Mus musculus: one gene and its partners. The protein of the gene in region 3 interacts with the protein of the main gene of each other region in a biochemical or structural test. Links are inferred from orthologs where the notes say so. Each region holds a gene or a part of one and is shown on either strand. Other genes may lie near its edges.

What was found.
Region 1: of the proteins of Tlk1 (region 3) and Asf1a, one has a biochemical effect on the other in vitro, tested with the Homo sapiens proteins (3 studies listed by BioGRID). The link is inferred for Mus musculus from reciprocal best matches to the Homo sapiens genes TLK1 and ASF1A.
Region 2: the proteins of Tlk1 (region 3) and Mbp form a complex in vitro, tested with the Homo sapiens proteins (2 studies listed by BioGRID, with this or other methods). The link is inferred for Mus musculus from reciprocal best matches to the Homo sapiens genes TLK1 and MBP.

Annotation. Positions count from the first base shown.
Region 1 is NC_000076.6:53,606,890-53,609,808, reverse strand, and holds the end of Asf1a (histone chaperone ASF1A), read right to left. Parts: intron 2,677-2,919; exon of another isoform or gene 2,145-2,676; coding exon 1,932-2,144; 3' UTR 827-1,931; coding exon of another isoform or gene 795-826; 3' UTR 584-794; downstream 1-583. UniProt on the Homo sapiens protein: Histone chaperone that facilitates histone deposition and histone exchange and removal during nucleosome assembly and disassembly.
Region 2 is NC_000084.6:82,473,810-82,478,030, forward strand, and holds the start of Mbp (Golli-Mbp), read left to right. Parts: upstream 1-1,313; 5' UTR 1,314-1,585; intron 1,586-2,165; exon of another isoform or gene 2,166-2,323; intron 2,324-4,221. UniProt on the Homo sapiens protein: The classic group of MBP isoforms (isoform 4-isoform 14) are with PLP the most abundant protein components of the myelin membrane in the CNS. They have a role in both its formation and stabilization.
Region 3 is NC_000068.7:70,745,412-70,749,065, reverse strand, and holds part of Tlk1 (serine/threonine-protein kinase tousled-like 1), read left to right. Parts: intron 1-3,021; coding exon 3,022-3,132; intron 3,133-3,426; coding exon 3,427-3,563; intron 3,564-3,654. UniProt on the Homo sapiens protein: Rapidly and transiently inhibited by phosphorylation following the generation of DNA double-stranded breaks during S-phase. This is cell cycle checkpoint and ATM-pathway dependent and appears to regulate processes involved in chromatin assembly.

The DNA of each region.
Region 1 (2,919 bases), on a different chromosome or scaffold from region 3:
TGTGTTATGTATTCACCACACATTCATTTACACTGATCAAAAAGAGGAAATAGCACTGAGTATGGAGTAGAACGCCTTTAATGTCAGCACTCAGGAGACAGAAGCAGGTGGATCTCTGTGAGCTGAAGGCTAGCCTGGTCTACATGGAGAGGTCAGGACAGCCAAGGCTATGTTGAGAGATCATATCTCAAAAATAAGAAATGGGGTGGAGGGCAGTCTTCCTTGTAACTATAATTCAGACATAATGCCTAAAATCACTGCATGCTAGTTTCTTAGTTGTTAATGTTTAAATGTTTCTATTATTCTTTTACTAAATTCTATAGAGCAGTAACTTTTAAATAATAAAAACTAGTAGTTTTTATGTCTCAAACTTTTGTGACAATGGGCCATATATTTAAAAATTGATATAAAACCTTAACCACATAATCTCATTACAAAGTAGTTTTTATAATCAGACTTAATACTCCAGTGAATCACTTAACTTGAAGATTTAGTTTTATTTCTAACAAACTGATTCTTACTGTTTTGATCACTGGACTCTTGTTTTAACATTTTCTCCTAATTGTAGTTAGACAAAATGAGATTTTTTTTTTTTCAAATCGTTTTAGTAGTCAGGTTTTATTTTTAAAATCTATGAACTGGGTAATGGTCAATACTGTAATAACCTGGAGTCTTAAATTTCAAAGTTTAACATTTAACAAGACTTGGTTGCACAAATTTACCTTTTAAAATAGCAAGAAATATATACAACTTAAAAGAGTCTGTTTAGACAAATGCCCTTTCCTTTTCCTCAGACTGTTTTGAAAAGTGCAGTATAAAAGCTTAGATGTGAAGGCACCGCATAACCTGCATCCCATGGCTCTCCTGTGCATCATCACCATAATCAAATGAAAATACTGTACTGTAAATGTAATGGATCAGAACTTTGAGGAAGTATTTACTTCTCATTAAAGAAAATACACTTTTGGCCCATTTATCCTTTCTAAAACTGCTCTTCAGAAAGAAAAAAAGAAGTCTGGAAAAGTTATGTAGATTATGTCAACTACAGAAAATACCCTGATCTTACACGTTAATGAGAGCCAGAGGATATGGGGTAATACAACTGCAAATGGTAAGACATGCTTCGTAAAGTAGCTAGCCAGAATAAAGCTAACCAGGCCTTTCTAAATTACCCTTGTAAGTTCGGCATTTCTGTAAACTGAAAGAAAGAGCAGATCTGAACCATTTTAATGTAATCTTACACTTTAGAGAACTTGTATTTGCTCTTGCCATGTTGAAATCTCTGGACAATGATTTATGGTCGTGGTTTCCCAGTTTTAGATGTAAGGAAGCATACACCATAGTCAGAGGGACTTCAAAGGCAGCTGCATTTGTTATATAAAAACTAGAAGTCTGGTGTAACACAAGTTGTGGTAAGATGCACTGGGGTGGCCTAGAAAAACCCTGGTGGCATATAATTGACTTCAAATCCCATTTTAATGTGATCTTTTTTACTACAGAATGGAAGTTTTCTCCTCAAATTAAAAGGACACTATCTTCACAGGAATAAATCATTTTAGTTGAAGTAAACTTTGTTTTTTTAAAAGCTAGTAAATCTTATTGTCCAAGAGGCTAAAACAACACCTTTACAACCTGGTCTAATAATTTGATATAAGTGCTTTAATTACATATAAAAGAGAAGAAAATAATATATATGCTTTAATCAGATTAGTTTCATGAACAAATAAAATAACACATTAGAGAAAAAAGTACTTAAAAATAGTTGTATTTATAATCCACAATTTGCTCAAATACTGGTTTTTCTTATAAACTTTCTACAGGATGTTTTTAAACAAATTCTTCACATTTCACGTTGACTATGTACTTACGGAACTTCAGGGAAATAGTTCTGTTTTTAATAGCTTAATCTGTACTAATGGGATGGCACGTGGTCACATGCAGTCCATGTGGGATTCTAACATAACATTGAGTGAGTTTTCTGACGTGGACCATCCCTTTGACGCTGACGGTAATGCATCTGTTGAAAGAAGGGACTGTAGATTTGGGTTACTGCTCTCTGCATCTTCCAGTTTTTCTGTATTATCTTCCCAGTTAATGTGGAATCTTGTGACTCTGGGATTAGATGCCAAAATATTCCTTTGAAGCTAGAAAGAGAAACATTTAAGTGGTAAGCACTAAGGGAGTTAGATTACCCTGTGCAAACTGGGTGGTTCTCTTTATCTTTCTAGAAGACTAAATTCATATGCAAAGGCATCAACAAGTGAAGCACTTACACATAACTAATAAGTAAGGACCACAATAGCAAAGGGCTAAAGAACTATTAGCCTTCAGAAACAAGGTAAAGGGAAGTGAGGGGTGGGGAACATATTTCACCCCCCAACAAAGTACCTGCTCTTATACTTCTGCTACCTAAAGAATACATACGGGAGGGAAAGGTCCTTTCGTATCCCTGTTAGAGGTAGTTAAATAAGTGTGTCTTTAGCCTGGTGTATTTTCAGGTTGGGAATATCGCTCACTGCCTTGGCCATACTCTGGAAAAGTCCCTAGGTTCAATGCTAAGCACTAAGAAATAAAATACAATAACCAGACTTCAAATGAACAATTTTCCCCAAACAAAACCCCTAATTATTGGGATCTTAGCAGTAATATATTAAATCTCAGTTTCCGAAACAGTAATATGTTCTAGTCTCTTTTACTGCCATACAAAGGTTCTACAAAGAGTAATCCTGGATCAACAGATCTTCAGACTATGAAAAGCATCCCACCCTCACCTGCAGAAAGGAGAACTAACTCTAGTCTATGGTAAGGCCTAGCAGATAGAGTACTTTAGTTAGTCACCAGTAACTAAACCTCTTAACCATTCCCAGTGGAAAATCTAAAGGTTTTTAAGAAGTGTTTTTATAAGACTATTGAATCAGA
Region 2 (4,221 bases), on a different chromosome or scaffold from region 3:
CAGCGCAGTAAGCTGCTAAGCCATGAATGGCCCTTCAAATACTCACCAATGGCCCTACTAGATAGCCTGCTCCACACTCGCATCTTTCTCTGAAAGTCTCTTTGGAGTTTGAGTGTCTGGTCTCCTGTCTACAGATGCATTGTATGCCCACAAACCCCATGCAGGCGACATTTCGTAAATCCTTTGCCAATGGTCTAACAGGGCAGCCATGCCTGCCACCCTGTGAGAATTCTGCTGTTTCTAGAAATCAGCAGAAACCTTGGAGGGCGGTAGGGGTTTGTTCTCAATGTAGCTAGGCAGCTCTCTGAAGCCCAGATTCATTGACATCTGCAGGGGAGGGATGCTGGGACACATCTGGTTGCTGACCTGAAGTTCTGATGCATGGATTGAGTTAGGGACCTAGCGTTCCAACATCCTCTAATGTCCTGGGTACCAAGGGTGACCTGAGCAGCTGTGAGCATTGGATGTCACTGTCCTGAGTGACTCTCTTGCTTAAAACAAGTTTACAGTCGCTCCATCTTAGGTTGGACTAGCACCTTTTTCTTGTCTTTTTATCCTTACTTCCAAATCCCAGAACCTACATCCCTACACACACACACACACACACACACACGGTTCCTAGGTAAGGACCAGTTAGATGTATCTAGACTGCTGTGGAAATATTTGCCTTAGGAAGACTGGCAATTGGACAGAGTCACTTGATTCTCCACCTTCTCCACCTTCCAAAGGATGTGAAACTCCCTGGGAGTCAGCTCTGAGTCCGCCTGTACTCTGCTCACCTTTGTATGCATGGTAGGTGTCCCCGGCTTGTCTGAATAATCCCCTGGTATGGTTTATCTCATGAACTGGAGACTTAGTGCGATCCCCATCCACTAGTCCCTCCCACACACCCAGAGCCAGGCTAATGGAGTCAAAAGATCCATGTGATAGCAAGGAACTTGTGTCCAAAGAAGCAGCGTCTACACAGAGGATTCCTGAGTGACAGAACGGGGAAGCTTCCTTGCTGGAGTCCGGAGCCTACTACTTCGTGACAACAGGCGTCCTAGGCCCTCCAGCCAGCACCTGTGGTCTCAGCTCCAGCTTCAGTCCCAGAACACAGAGATCCACCTCAGGCCTAGTCGGGGACAGGTTCCAGGGCTCAAGTTATCCGGTGGTTCTGGGCGATGCCATTTAGACCTCTCTTGCCAGGTCCTGCTCTTCAGATTCCTGAAGCAATAAAGTCCAGAGAGCAGCGGTGCGGGAGCGTAGGGCGGTGACGAGCAAAGCCCCGCCCCACCGCTCCGAGGGCTGCCCTGCCCCCTGGGTCCCCGCGTGTCCCCCGCCCTCCCAGTGGCGCGCGTTTACCTGCTTTCAAGCACTGGGAGGCGGGGCGGGAGCGGGGTGCGCGCCCGTCCCCGGAGCAGCCGCTGTCAGTCACCGCCGCTGCGCGCCAGGGAGGACCAGCCTCTGGCTCAGGCGGCCTGAGCTTCACGACCCCGGAACATAGTATCCGCGCCCCAGCGACCCCTAGCCCAGCGTTGGGTCCCATCCGCCGGGATCCCGGGATCCTGGGCCCCTCTTGGCCTCCGAGCAGCAGCCAGCACCAGTAAGTGATCATTAGCAGGGACGCGAGGGGCAGCCCTGGTGCCTTTGTCTCGGGGCCCCTGCGAGCGGGAGACCCCGGTACGGAATCTGACTCCTTGAGAGGCGAAAGAAGGGGCCTTCTGTGAGGGCAGCAGAACTCTGTTTCCCTTCTTCAAGGCCAAGAGTGTCTGGGTCACACCTGACCAGAGGTGCAGGTGGCCCGGCAGGTGGCAGCTAGGCGACCTCCGGGACCCGATACCACGTCGACAGCCCCGATCTTTCTTAGGAAGGGTGGACGCGAGTATAGACTCAGGTCCACACCAGTGGGGACTGGAAGCCTGGGGGTATACAGGGGTGGTTTCCAGCTAGCTCTTGGGACTCCGGGGTCGCTGAAACTCGAGAGGCCTAGGCTTGGTGAGGGGAGGTGGCGGAGGAGTTTAGAGGGAGGAGGTGACCTCTGTCTAGAGAGACCGCCCTCAGCTACGGAGAGGGGTCTGATGGGCTCTGAGGCACACTAGGGTCCATCCAAGCCTGCGGTGCCTGCTGATCACACACCTGCTGCCCAGTGGGCGATCCCTGCCCTGCCCTTCCCCACGAGGAGAAGCAGTTTCCCTTTGAGCAGAGGGCGGTGACAGGCACTTGTTCAGGCTTCCGCCTTTCGGGGCCTGTCTCAGGCTCCTAGGCCCTTGGGCGCCGCGCGTAGCCCCCAACCCACCTGCGGCCACCTGCTGGCACTGGCACTGAGTCCGATCTTCCCGCGGTAACTTGATCTCCTGGTCCTGCCTAAGCGCAGGGTCCCAGTGGTTCCCGGGGGAGGGGGGGTGCGGGGGGGCAGTCCTCGTGTTCTGCTATGGTTTGTTGTAAACTCTGGTTTTTAGGGCTTGTATGAACCGCGCGTACCCGGTTTGGGATTTTGAGGTGGTAGTCCAGATCCATGTTTGGAACGCGGAGCAAAGCTTGGACAAGGGTTTGGTTCTCCGAGGTTCTCCTTGCTGTTTGCTAGCTAGACAGCTGCCGATCCACACAACATACGAGAGTGGATCTCTGTGTTGGGGAAACTCTTGGAACTGGATTGTGGGAGACAAACATCAGGCAGACATCATCTTTGCCTACACACACACACACACACACACACACACACACACACACACACACACACCTAGAACGACTTTTTCAGAGAAAGTGAGTTCTCATTTAAGACCTGTGGTTTGGGAGAGTCCGTCTCGCTAAGTTCAAAGGGCCACCCACCCGCTCACTCCCCATGGCTCTCCCCAATAGAGCTTACCTGCCAACACCTCTGGGGTGGGTGTGAGCACTCGGGGTCGGGGACAAGGCCATCCCAGGCCAAAGCACCTGAGAACCAGAGGCCTGTAGTGCTCTCTCAGACAACTGTACAGGTGCACACCAGTCCAGGTTGGGGTAGCCATCCCCAGCTAGATTCTCAGAAACCCGAAAGAGAAGATATGTTTTAAAATAATCATGAATGTGAGATGCAACTCCTACGGATTTAATGTTCTGAAACGACTGCTTTTTATCAACTTGAGATTTAAAAAACAAAAAACCTAGTATGCTCAAATCCATTTTGTAAATCCATTTAATGCCTGTTTAGATGTGGAGTGTTGGTTCTTTGTGGAAATGGTGTGTGTGTGTGTGTGTGATTTTTTTTTTTAAGAAAAAAAAAAGATGTGTGAATACGGAAAAAGAACCTAGCCCTGTCTTTCAAGGATGTTCCAGTTTAGACTGATTCTGGAGTGCTGAAGCTCATTTTCTTTCCTCTTCCGGTTCTTTGTGATTTTAATCTTTAGATTACATTTATTTACGTGTGTGTGTGTGTGTGTGTGTGTGTGTGTGTGTGTGTGTGTGTGTGAATATGTGTGCAGGTCAGAGGATGACTTGTAAAGAGTAAGCTTTCTTTCCACAATGTGGGTTTGTGGGTTGCAGGGATCAAATTCAGGTCGTTAGCCTTGGTGGCAAGTGATTTACCCACTGACCCATCTCACAAACCCCTCTCCAGGTTCTTCCAAACAAAGTCAGCAGCTGCCTCCCCAGGAGCAGGTGGCGGTGGCTGACCTCGCACTAAACAGCAGGCTCCCTGCTGAGAGCTGTTAACTACTGCATTTACAGCTTAACGGCCTTGGGAGAGCTCCCTCCTTCCTCCCCCCTCCCCTTCATTACATTAGTTGCCTCTCAGGCACTTGGAGACTGAAGAGCCACCTGGCCCCATTTGACCCCCTCATGGCCACTTGAAGGTGCCCCCTTCAGATAGAGATATGGCTCTGTGGTTAAAGACACCTTACTGCTCTCGGAGAGGATGTAGTTCAGTTCCCAGCACCCACATCAGTTGGCTCACACCTGCTTACAACTCCAGCTCCCAGGAATCCAGCATCATCTTCTGTGACTCTGAGGACATCAGCGCTCACAACATGCACGTACCCTCATACATACATACATACATACATACATACATTACCAAAAACAAAAATGTAAGCCCACCACCAGTGAATGACCATGCCTATTAAAGCATCCAGTCTCTGTCTCCAGGTGACCTGACACCCAACCTTGTTGTTATCCCTTCCTTGGCTTCCATTGCTGTCATTAAAGAAGAAAAGTAGGTGTCCCTGTGATTCAGCATTACGTGGAAAAGCCATGGCTTTGCAG
Region 3 (3,654 bases):
GCAAGCAAGTACACATCTGTATACAGATATACACACTCCTAGTTAAAATAAAAGACAAATGTTGAAAATACCCACTTTAAAGTCAGAATAGGTGATTAGCTCTCTGAGTGTGAAATTGAGAAATTGTTGAAGAAATAGAAGTAGGTTTATAATTTTTTATTTGGTCATCTACCTCTAGTCAGATAACCCATTTCCTGTTGAATAGTTTATTGCTCTCTGCCTGACATCAGATACCATTACTGCCATAATCCTGTAAGATTTTTAATGGAAGCTTTATTTTTAAAAATAAATTAGGGTTGGCAAGGGAATTTGAACTGCTCTTCCGGCCCATTTGGGCACTCCATACATGTGCTTCACAGATATATATGCCAGCAAAAACACTCATATACACAGAAAGTAAATCTGAAAGTATGTAAGTAAATAAATCTAAGGTATTTGGCAAGTGGCTTTGCAGATAAAAGTGTTTGCTAAATTTGATCTCCAGAACCTACATAAACATAGGAGAGAACTGACCTCACAAAGCTGCAGCTTACACACACGTGCCATGGCTGTGCATCCATACATCATGCATGCACATACACAATACATTTAAAAACATTCCTAAAAGTATACTTAGAATGTGAGTGAGGCATAAAGCAAGATTTCTTTTCCCTTGCAATTCCTTAGGATCACCTACCTGATGGAAGTACTAATTTTGAATTCTCTCCCATGGAGTTCTGATTAAATTGATGTAGCTTGGATGTTGATAATTTTAAGAGCTTCTACCAACTATTGTAATTCAAGCCAACACTGTGAACCAGTAGCACCACAGCTTAATAGCACCAACATCTGTGACTCCATTGTAACCTTGGAACACTGCTCTGTCACAGCCCTTACTGCTAACCTACGCTTCTGGCATCAATGATACATGTCTTCATCATTACTTTTCTTTCCTTATAGTTGTGTGTGTGCATGCATGTGTGTATGTTGGTGTTGGTGCTGGTGATCAAACAAACCCAGGACCTCCCATATGCTAGGCAAAGTGCCACACCTCTGGACCGTATCCATAGCCACCTTTTCACTTTTTATTAGACTGGATGTTTCCTAGCTTTCTAGTTTTTAGGTTTTTTGTTTGTTTGTTTAAATGTTGGCTTCTTCCACTTTGTGGAATGTATTTTCATTACATCATACTTTCTTTTTGATGATTGTTTTTACATGTTAATTATCTTCAGTTTATAGTTTATAGTTTGTGTATACTTTATCAAAGATTCCAAAGGAACTGATTGTAAGAGCCTAAAGATGTTCTTTACTGAAAAACGAGGCTCATTTTAATTTCTTCCTATATAACCAATTATCCAGTTGAATTAAAAAGTTCATTTCTATACTTAAGGCTCTACCATTAAATCTTATTTCCATATGCAGTATACCTATTTCTTTCTTATGTCCATGTTCTGTTTTGTGTATTACTGGATCAATCCTGAAACACTATTTTAGCATTTTGCAGTTGTCTTTGTTAGTAACACAGTATAAACAACAGTACTTCACATGAGATAGAAGTGTATTTTAAGAAAGAACAGAAGTGGCAGCCACCTAGATTTAATTGCCCCACAATTTGATGAGACCTTGGCTCCTTCAGCAGCTTGCTTCCTGTCTTCAGTGCATGGCTTCCATCTTGAAGGTCACCTGTGGGTACAAAATAAAAATAGTCACAGTCACGGTGTCTGTGTTCTAAGCAGATAACCAGGGAAAAGAATCACAAAAGGTACAATTCTCTATGTATCCTTTTTGAATATTCTACTGAATTTACTTAAATTTCTTTGTAAGAGAAGCTGGGAACTGTAGTCTTTTGACTAGGTTCATATCAGTTTAGAATTAAGCATCTTTTCCTTTATTATGCAAGAAGAAAATTAGAGTGATTGTAATTACCGTGGGTTTATATTAAATCTTGACATATGGTATACATGGTACATGCCCATAAACCCAGTACACTGGGGGCAGGAGGAGGACAGCAGGATTATAAGATTAAAACTAGCCTGAGCTATACTATATTCTACACTACACACACACACACACACACACACACACACACACACACACACACACGAGTAGAGGGGAGACACCATGAGAACACCCTTGATGTGCAGTTGAACAAGTGCTCTTTGTTTTGGCTATCTGGAATCTTAAGGAAATTTTGAGGTCAGTTGTTCAAGTTAAACATCCATACTGGTTTTCAAACCAGGTTGAGGCTTTGTCTGTTCTAAAGTGAGGATCTGTTTGTGCTAAGTCTCTCTTTGTTGCTTTTGATGTGCAGTTTTATTGACCATGTAGTTTTAAGTTGGCATTTACTTTCTCCCAACATTTTAAAAGTATCACACGGTTTGATTTCTGCAGGATGCAATGATGCTTGGGGTCTCAGTGTTTAGTGTTTAGCAGCGGCGTTGACTGAGAAAGTGAAGTTGCTAGGCTTTCCTTCAGACCTGACTCAGAATATTTGAGGTGTGGGGTATCTCAGCAGGCCACAGACGCGATTCTCCTCCTGTAGTGATAGGCTAGTCAGACTTCCCTGGAGTTAGAGAGAAGTCTCCTCTTTGAGTAATAGCAACCCGCAGAGTGAACAGAACCTGTATCCTGTTCAAGGAAGGGTGGTGAAAGGAGTTCATTGGGTCAGCAAATGACAGTGTTGTCCTTACACCTAGTACAGAACATGTTTGAGAGGATCTGGCAGTGGAAAAGAAGAAATTCACATTTCCTCTTACATGTGTTACACATATGTTACACATTTAAACTAGGTTATACTTCTTATTTACAAATAAAGGAACTGAGCTTAGATTCAGGTGATACAGCCAAAAATGTATACCTTAGAATATACACATAAATGTCCAGAATGTGTGTGTAAATTTTTGGTACTTTCTACTATGCAGTTAATGTTTGATAGTAAATAGACTATTGTTGTTTATCTCATCTATTTAATTTATTCAAAACAATCACTAAGATTTTCATACATACTGATTCTAGACCTTTCATTTTCTACTCATGTTGTAGGCCAACTGTGATCTCAGGCGGCAAATAGATGATCAACAGAAATTACTTGAAAAATACAAAGAACGATTAAATAAGTGCATATCTATGAGCAAGAAACTACTTATTGAAAAGGTGAGTTATTACTAAATTTTCTTTTCCCTTAGTAGTAGTTTGCTCTTCCTTTCATGCTTTTAAAATCTGAATGAATAACCTGGCGGTGGTGGCTCATGTCTTTAATCCCAGCCCTGGGGAGGCCGAGGCAGATGAATCTCTGAGCTCAATGCCAGCCTGGTCTACAGAGTAGATTCTAGGCCAGCCAGGGCTACACAGAGAAACCCTGTATCATGAATGAATGAATGAATGAATGGATAGATGGATGGATGGAAAATTTTGAATGACTATAATGATTTTTTTTCTCATTTTCAGAGTACACAAGAAAAATTGTCTAGCAGAGAAAAGAGTATGCAAGATCGGTTGCGCCTTGGGCACTTTACCACAGTTAGACACGGCGCTTCCTTTACAGAACAGTGGACAGATGGTTTTGCATTTCAGAATCTTGTGAAGTTAGTAATGTTTACAATTTTTAAAAGTTATTTTTTTGATTGTGTTTGTATGTATGTGTGTGCGCACGCGCGTCAGACCTGAAGTAACAGG